Coturnix japonica: one gene and its partner. The protein of the gene in region 2 purifies or fractionates together with the protein of the main gene of each other region. This does not show direct contact. Links are inferred from orthologs where the notes say so. Each region holds a gene or a part of one and is shown on either strand. Other genes may lie near its edges.

Region 1 (3,259 bases), on a different chromosome or scaffold from region 2:
GGCATCAGGAGCAGCAGGAGGGGCACCCACCGCCACTCCATGGTCCCAGAGCACGGTACTGGCTTGCCTGGGTGCCCAGGCAACAGGGGTTCCAAGGTGCGGCCCGGGTCACTTCCCGTTGGGATGGAGATACTCTGACACACAGCTTTTGGAGATGGAAAAGAGGCTCTTGCTCCCCTTTTTATCTCCTCAAATTCTTTGCCTTCAGTCTCTACTGATATTACCTGATGTTCCCAAACACCCTCTAACTTAACATTTAATTTCCGCCAGCCCCCAGTCTGCTATAAGCTATAAGCACCCTCAGTCCAGGCTCCTGGAGTCTCCAAATCCCAGCTGGTGAAATCCACACAAGGCTCCACTTTTGGTTTGGTGCCCAGCTGTATGCAAGGTACCTACATGACTTCTGAAGTGCTCGGTCTCCGTTATGGTAGGAATTGCTTCGCGTTTGGAGGTGGCGCTCATTGCGCAGCGTTGTTCCTGTTCCTCCCTGATCCCCCTCGGCCGCAGCGTATTACCACAGTTAGGAGGGACCAGGACTGCCGTGTGTTCCCTCTGCCCCTATCACCCACTGAAACATTCTGTACCTGAGATTAAATTAACCCGCACAACTCTGTTTCAGGTTGAAAACGGAGTGTTTGGGGAAGAAAAATGCATCTGTGTCTGTTTTGTGGGGGTCTGGAATGACAGCATCACGTAGTGACAGCGTAACCACTGTGGGGGCTCTACTGGGTCCGAGGGGATCGCAATTCTGGTGCTCATTTTGCATGGCTGGAGTCCATCACGATTTAGGGTACACAAGAGGTGCACAACACTTGGGGGTCCATCCCACAGGGCGGCCATCAGGAGCACAGAGCAGCGGCGGCATCACGCTCCACCTCGATGGACACGATGTGGTGCCCCGGCACCATGGCCAGGCCCAGCACACGTGGCTCGCTGCCTGGGAACGCATCTGCAGAGGACGGCAGCCCCGTGTCAGTCTCGCTGCCGCGTCTCCATCCCCACCGCTCCCCGAGATCCTGTTCCCATCACCCTGCTATCCCCGTCACCCTCCCTATCACCGCCCCCCCTTTCATCACCCCCCCGCCCCCATCAGCCACCGAGTCCCCCCGTCCCCGCGGCCCCATTTCCCACCGTGGCCCCGTACCTGCAGCCTTGAGGAACTCCTGCGCGGAGCCGAGGATGATGTTGGCGTCACGGTCGGTGCAGAGGAAGGTTCCCACCAGGGTGCGACCGTCCGACATGCGGACCCGCAGGCTGCGGTTCAGCAGCGCCGCCAGGCGCCGGGCGTGGGGCTGAGACCCCCCGGGAGGCTGCACAGGGAGGGGGGGTTGGACACGGCCCCGCAGCACCTGAGGCGCTTCACAACCCCGGACACCCCGTGAGCGGCGGCAGCACCTCACAGCACCCGGCAGCTCCCAGGGCTGCACACTGACACCCGTGTCCGCTCCGTGCCTCGCTGCCCCCTGGAGCACGGCCACAGCCACGGCCACAGCTCTGGGATCACATACAGGACCTGCACAGCTCCGATATCACATACAGGACCTGCACAGCTCTGGGATCACATACAGGACCTGCACAGCTCCGATATCACATACAGGACCTGCACAGCTCCGATATCACATACAGGACCTGCACAGACCCCCCATCTCACAGACCCCCCCTCCCCCCCTTCCCGCTCACCGCCGGTTCCGCCATGGCTCCGCACCGCTATCCGCCGGAAGTGCCGCGCTCCCGGCATGCCCCGCGTTGTTATGGAGATGGCGACGCTTTCCTGCGGCCTTGCCGTGCGGACGGCGCTGCTTTACGGCGGCGTTGCCGTGGCAACGGGCAGCCTAAAATGGAGTTGTAACGGGTCCCGGTTGTCTCTAAAGCCGCCGAGTCTGTAACGTGAGGGACATAAGGTGGGGCTGTGGGGGTGTAAACGGGGCGGGGAAGAGCTTAGGGAGCCTAAAATGAGAGGCAGAATTAATGACAGGATGAATCAGCAGCTCTATTCCTGATGTATGTTTTATGCTTACATGGGATTTCTACTGTTTACATCCACTATTTCTCAAGACAAGTTACAAAGTTGAACCCGCGTTTCTGCAGCTCGACAAGGTCAGAGATGAGGCCGTGGGGGGGTCACGGCTGCGGCCGTTGCAGTTTTCTCGTCATTTCCCATAATAAATCATTGACGCTCTTCTTGTCTTCTGCCTTTCCTCATTTTACACCGTTTCTTAGCATTATAAAAATGATTTGTTCAAAAGAAGTGAAAAGTAGTAAATTCAAACTGTTTCTCCCCAAAATAGGCCCAGGACTGAAAAGTTGTGAGATCAAGGGGAAAGACTGGGTGAAAACTGGGGAAATTCAGGGGAAAGCGATGGAAAGTTACGGGGAAGTTGGGGGAAATAAGGGACGAGTAGAAGAAATTTGGAGGAAAGACGTGGAAAATGTGGTGAATTAGGGAAAATCAGGGTAAAATGGGGGGGTACCTAGAGATAATAACAGGGAAATGGGGAAATTTGGGGAAAATGGGAGAAAATGGGGGAAAATGGGGAAATTTGGGGAAAAATGGGGAAAATTGGGGAAAATTAGGGGAAATAAGGTAATGAGTGGAAATTTGGGAGAATACGGGTTTTTTATTGTAAATTAGGAGAGTATCTGGGGGCAAATGGAAATTAAGTAAAAAAGGAAATTTGGAGGGGAAATGGGGAAATAAGAGCAAATGAGAGCAAAAGCAGATGGGAAAAGTGGGGAAATAGGGTAATGTTGGGAAAGCTTTGGGGATATAACTGAAAAGTGGGTAAATTGGTTGAAAATAAATATATATATATAGGGGAAATTAAGGAGAAATAAGGGAAAACGAAGAAATTAGAGGGAAAGGGGGGAAAATATGTGAAATTGGAAGGAAATTTGGAGAAGAACCAGGGAAATAAGGGAAAACCCAGTAAATTAGTGGGAAATGAAAGAAAACACAGGGAAATGGGGGGGGGGGGGAGTAGAAACAGGGGAAAAGAAGCAGAGAGGTGGGAATGCGAGGGGAGCCCGTGCGGCCATATAAGGGCAGCAGCTGCTGGGCATGGGGGAGGGGTCCTAAAAATAGCCCCGGAGTGGGGACACGGACAAGGACAAAGCCCGGCCCGTCCCACCTGTCCATTGTCCATCCGCGATCCTATTGTCTGCCGTCATCCGTCCCATCATAGCACGGAGGGGGAGGGGGGGGGAAGGTGGTCTGTGGGCTTTGCCCTTGTCCCTATGGGGTCCTATAGACAAAGTTCTA
Region 2 (3,751 bases):
AGCAATTGTCATCATAATAGTTACGAGAAATAAAACAAATTTAAAGGCCAAGTAAGCATTCAGACCAAGAACATAACAGCAGTTTTAGGATACCTTTCATCTCTCTGTTAGCTTTAAGGGGAATCAAAGGCACCAGCTCAGAGCTCAGCTCAGCTGCCCTATCCAAGTCAGATGAATCCTGGCTGCGGACAATGAACTGTTAAGATCAACATCAGATAGATCCTGGCTGTGGACAATGAACTGTTAAGATCAACATCAGAACAAGGAACCTTCCAAGTCTGTAAATGGGACAAAGAGAGCACACACAAGAGGTTTTATTTCCATGGTACTGTAACCTCAGTGCAGACAGTATGTTTTCATGACAAGTTAGATCCTCGTCACCCCATCCCACAGGTTTTGTTGGATCATCTCCCTAACATGGACACCACAGATGCTTTCGCCACTGTAACACGGCAAAGGAGAACTGAATTTCAGGCCATTACTACACTGGCATTTGTTTGCTTTTGCTGTTTAAAATACTTGAGGACAGTGAACCTCACTGCAACGTCTGTGTGCCAGAACAGCTCACATCAGGTCCACGGGGATACTTTGAAGCCTGAAAACACACACATACACACAAAAAAACCACTAAATCTTTAATCTGCAGTTCACCAAGAGAAGACTGAAACTCCACAGCCTGTTTCCTCCCTAATTACAGAACCCTGTTAGGACATGCATAGAAAATGGCTGGATTTCCCTTTTAAACCCGGGCCTGTCACTTCCTTGAGAAATAACTGCAGCAAAAGGAGAACGAATGAACCTTCCAACAGCCCTGCAAGGCTTCCTGGTGAGGAAAAGCCAAAATCCAGCCTTTCTCAGCATTTTTGAGGGGCTTCGTGTGTGTTTTAAACAAAACCTTCCCACTTGGAGGGCTTTTCTGTTGCCGTGAGAATCTCTGGCAGGGCAAAGAGTAAAAGTGAGGGCTGCTGGAATGGGAAATAAGGCAATGAGGATCCAAAAAGGTGCTTTAATTAACAGCCACACAATCACATCTCAGACCGACCCGCCCCCACCATATCGCGGCCTACAACGCCCCGCCCAGACCCTTGGTGAAGCCCGCCCTACAGTCGCTAAGCTCCGTCGCCAAGTGAGGAAGCGTCGTAAAAGCTGACAGGAAACTTGGCTTCGCGTTACGACAGCGGCGGCCGCGCTTGGCGGCCGCTGGATGAGCGGGGAGTGGGAGCCGCGGCGCTGAGGAGACGCGGGGTGAGCGGCCGAGGCGGCGGTGGGTGGGGGGGCTCGGCGGCCGCAAGGGGCCCGTGAGGAACCGGGTAAGGACCCCGGCGGTGGGGGGAGCGGGACGGCAGGAAGAGGCGGCGGTGGGGCGGCGAGGCGGGGCCCGGGCACCGTGTGTGCCTTTGTTCGTGGCCCCCCCACCCCCCCTCGGCCTTGGCTCAGTGTAGGCCGCTGCCTCGGCCTGTTCCCCCCGTCCGGTCTGACGCCTTCTTCCTCGGTGGGTTTGTGTCGGTCTCTCCCGTAGGATATGGCCGAGGTACCGCCGGGGCCTAGCAGCGTCCTCTCCCCGCAGGGGGACACGCTTTCCCCCTTCCCTGGAGGAGGAGGAGGGGGGCCTGCTTCCTCCTCCTCCTGTTCCACCTCCGCCGCCGCCGCCGCCGCCTGCACCGGGGCCCAGGACGAGGAGGCCGAAGAGGAGGAGGAGGAGGAAGAGGAAGAGGAGGGACCCGCGGGCGGACGGGAGCAGCAGCGAGGAGGAAGCAGCGACGGCGGTAAGGGGGGGCCGCAGCAGCAGCAGCACCGCCTCCACCACCACCACCATCACCCCCCACACCACAACCACCAGCTCAACGGCCTCATCAGCCCCGAGCTGCGGCACCTGCGGGCCTCACTCAAGAGCAAGATCCTGGGCTCGGAGGCAGGGGCAGCCCCCGAGGGGCTGGAGAACAAGCGAGCCAGCAAAACAATGGGCTCCGGACAGCAGCAGCAGCAGCAGCCGTCGCCCCCGGCCTCAGCACCGTGCTCGTCCCCCCTTTCCAACCACCTCCCTCCCCAGGGAAGGACTGCACCCTCTCCTCCTCCTTCTCCCGCAGCAGCAGCAGCAATAGGGGACAGGAGCCAGCCTGCTGCCACAACTACGACTGCTGCTAAGACTGCGGCCCGCAATGGGCTGGCAGGAGGGACTGGCTTGGAGGAGGAAGAGCAGGAGGAGGGGGATGAAGGTGGGGAGGAGGAGGAGTCCCTGCTGCTGCTCTCTAGGTCCTTAGCAGCAGGCTGCAGTTTGAAAGGCTCGGGAACGGACTGTCAGCCCGAGGAGGACCTAACGATACGATACGTCCGATATGAATCAGAGCTGCAGATGCCCGATATCATGAGACTGATCACCAAAGATCTGTCTGAACCCTACTCCATTTACACGTATAGGTATTTTATCCACAACTGGCCACAACTTTGCTTTTTGGTAAGTGCTGGTTGGGGGGGGGGGGGGAAGAGGGTAAGAATTGGGAGTGGTTTAAGGCTGGGGTGGAGGCATGATTAAAGAGCTGACATGTGGAAATACTTCTAAAATTCTTTTTATGGCTAAGAGGGAAGGCCAAGAGTTTTGGAAAGTATGTAACACTAATGAATCCTCCTTCTCACCTGAGCCTGTATAAGCAAAGCTTATGTCTGAAGTTCTTACATTCACTAGTATACCTTTCCAATGGTGGGGAAAGGGTTTGAACGCAGGGCTGGGATCCAGGAATTCAAGGCTTCTAATCTTGGTGTTGACGTTGACTTCTGTGACCTTTGGTAGCTCATTTTGTCATTCTGCTTCAGTTCCTAGGTTTGGATTTAAAAAAGAAAGTACTTAGTCCACGGGTGTCTTGTGAGTGCTTAGTAATTCTTGCACAATGGTTCTCAAACTGACTTGAGCATGACTGGTGTATGCATGTTGACGTGGGCACTACTGAAGGTTTTGTAGACTTTTTTGATCTGTTTGCTTACCTTGAGAATTTCAAGTACAATTATATCACTTTTCAGGTTTGGTAGTGTATGCACCATACAGAAATACTCATTTTGTTCAGGTTGTCTTACAGTACTAATGATAAACCTTACTGTTGTATTCTTCCTATTGCGCTGTCACAAAGATTGTTTTAGTTTAGTTTGTTTTTAGTGCTGAATATTTAGAAAGAGAACAGCCAGATCGTTTTGGAACGTGTGTCTCAGCTGACAAGCATGAGAGCAGTCCACACACAGGTATATGAAACTGGCCTGAGGGGTACGTATGCACAAGAAGTGGGCTTAGCTGTGTTTGATTTACTCATTGGAAAGCTGCTCTGTAAAACAGAACGTTTTGGGGAGCATATGGTGCTTCCTCACTCAAGTAAATGATGAATTCTTTTTTTCTTAATGCTTCAATCGAGGCAGGACAACACACTGACAGATATGATTTAGCCAGAGCCAAGATACCCTTTTATTCAGGGGTACCTCTTTAAGATTTTAATTGGATATGAGTACAGGAGGTAAAGCTAATGGAATCCATCTGGCCTTCAACTCACTAAACGTTCTTAGTTTAGGGTCTGGTGTAATTTATAGTGGGATTTATATGATTTATAGGAGAGTTTTCAGAAATGTGCCTCTTACAGTCCTGAAGAGGGAATACAGTAGGATTGATTACAGGAGGTTGACCAGAACGTTACCATCTGGAACAACATAAAAATAAGAAAATATTTGAAAACACTCTTCAATATCTAGTCGTGCTGATCAGAGCGGAGTG

What was found. Proteins that work in one complex are often made in the same cells at the same time.
Region 1: the proteins of NAA30 (region 2) and NAA38 purify together in Homo sapiens (co-immunoprecipitation; 3 studies listed by BioGRID and IntAct, with this or other methods). This does not show direct contact. The link is inferred for Coturnix japonica from reciprocal best matches to the Homo sapiens genes NAA30 and NAA38.

What each region holds. Positions count from the first base shown.
Region 1 is NC_029534.1:46,731-49,989, reverse strand, and holds NAA38 (N-alpha-acetyltransferase 38, NatC auxiliary subunit), read right to left. Parts: upstream 1,786-3,259; 5' UTR 1,696-1,785; coding exon 1,681-1,695; intron 1,311-1,680; coding exon 1,145-1,310; intron 950-1,144; coding exon 840-949; 3' UTR 614-839; downstream 1-613. Other genes in the region: SPACA6 (sperm acrosome membrane-associated protein 6), read right to left, coding at 1-41.
Region 2 is NC_029520.1:50,473,124-50,476,874, reverse strand, and holds the start of NAA30 (N-alpha-acetyltransferase 30), read left to right. Parts: upstream 1-1,110; 5' UTR 1,111-1,245; exon of another isoform or gene 1,246-1,310; intron 1,311-1,519; 5' UTR 1,520-1,522; coding exon 1,523-2,455; intron 2,456-3,751. UniProt on the Homo sapiens protein: Catalytic subunit of the N-terminal acetyltransferase C (NatC) complex. Catalyzes acetylation of the N-terminal methionine residues of peptides beginning with Met-Leu-Ala and Met-Leu-Gly.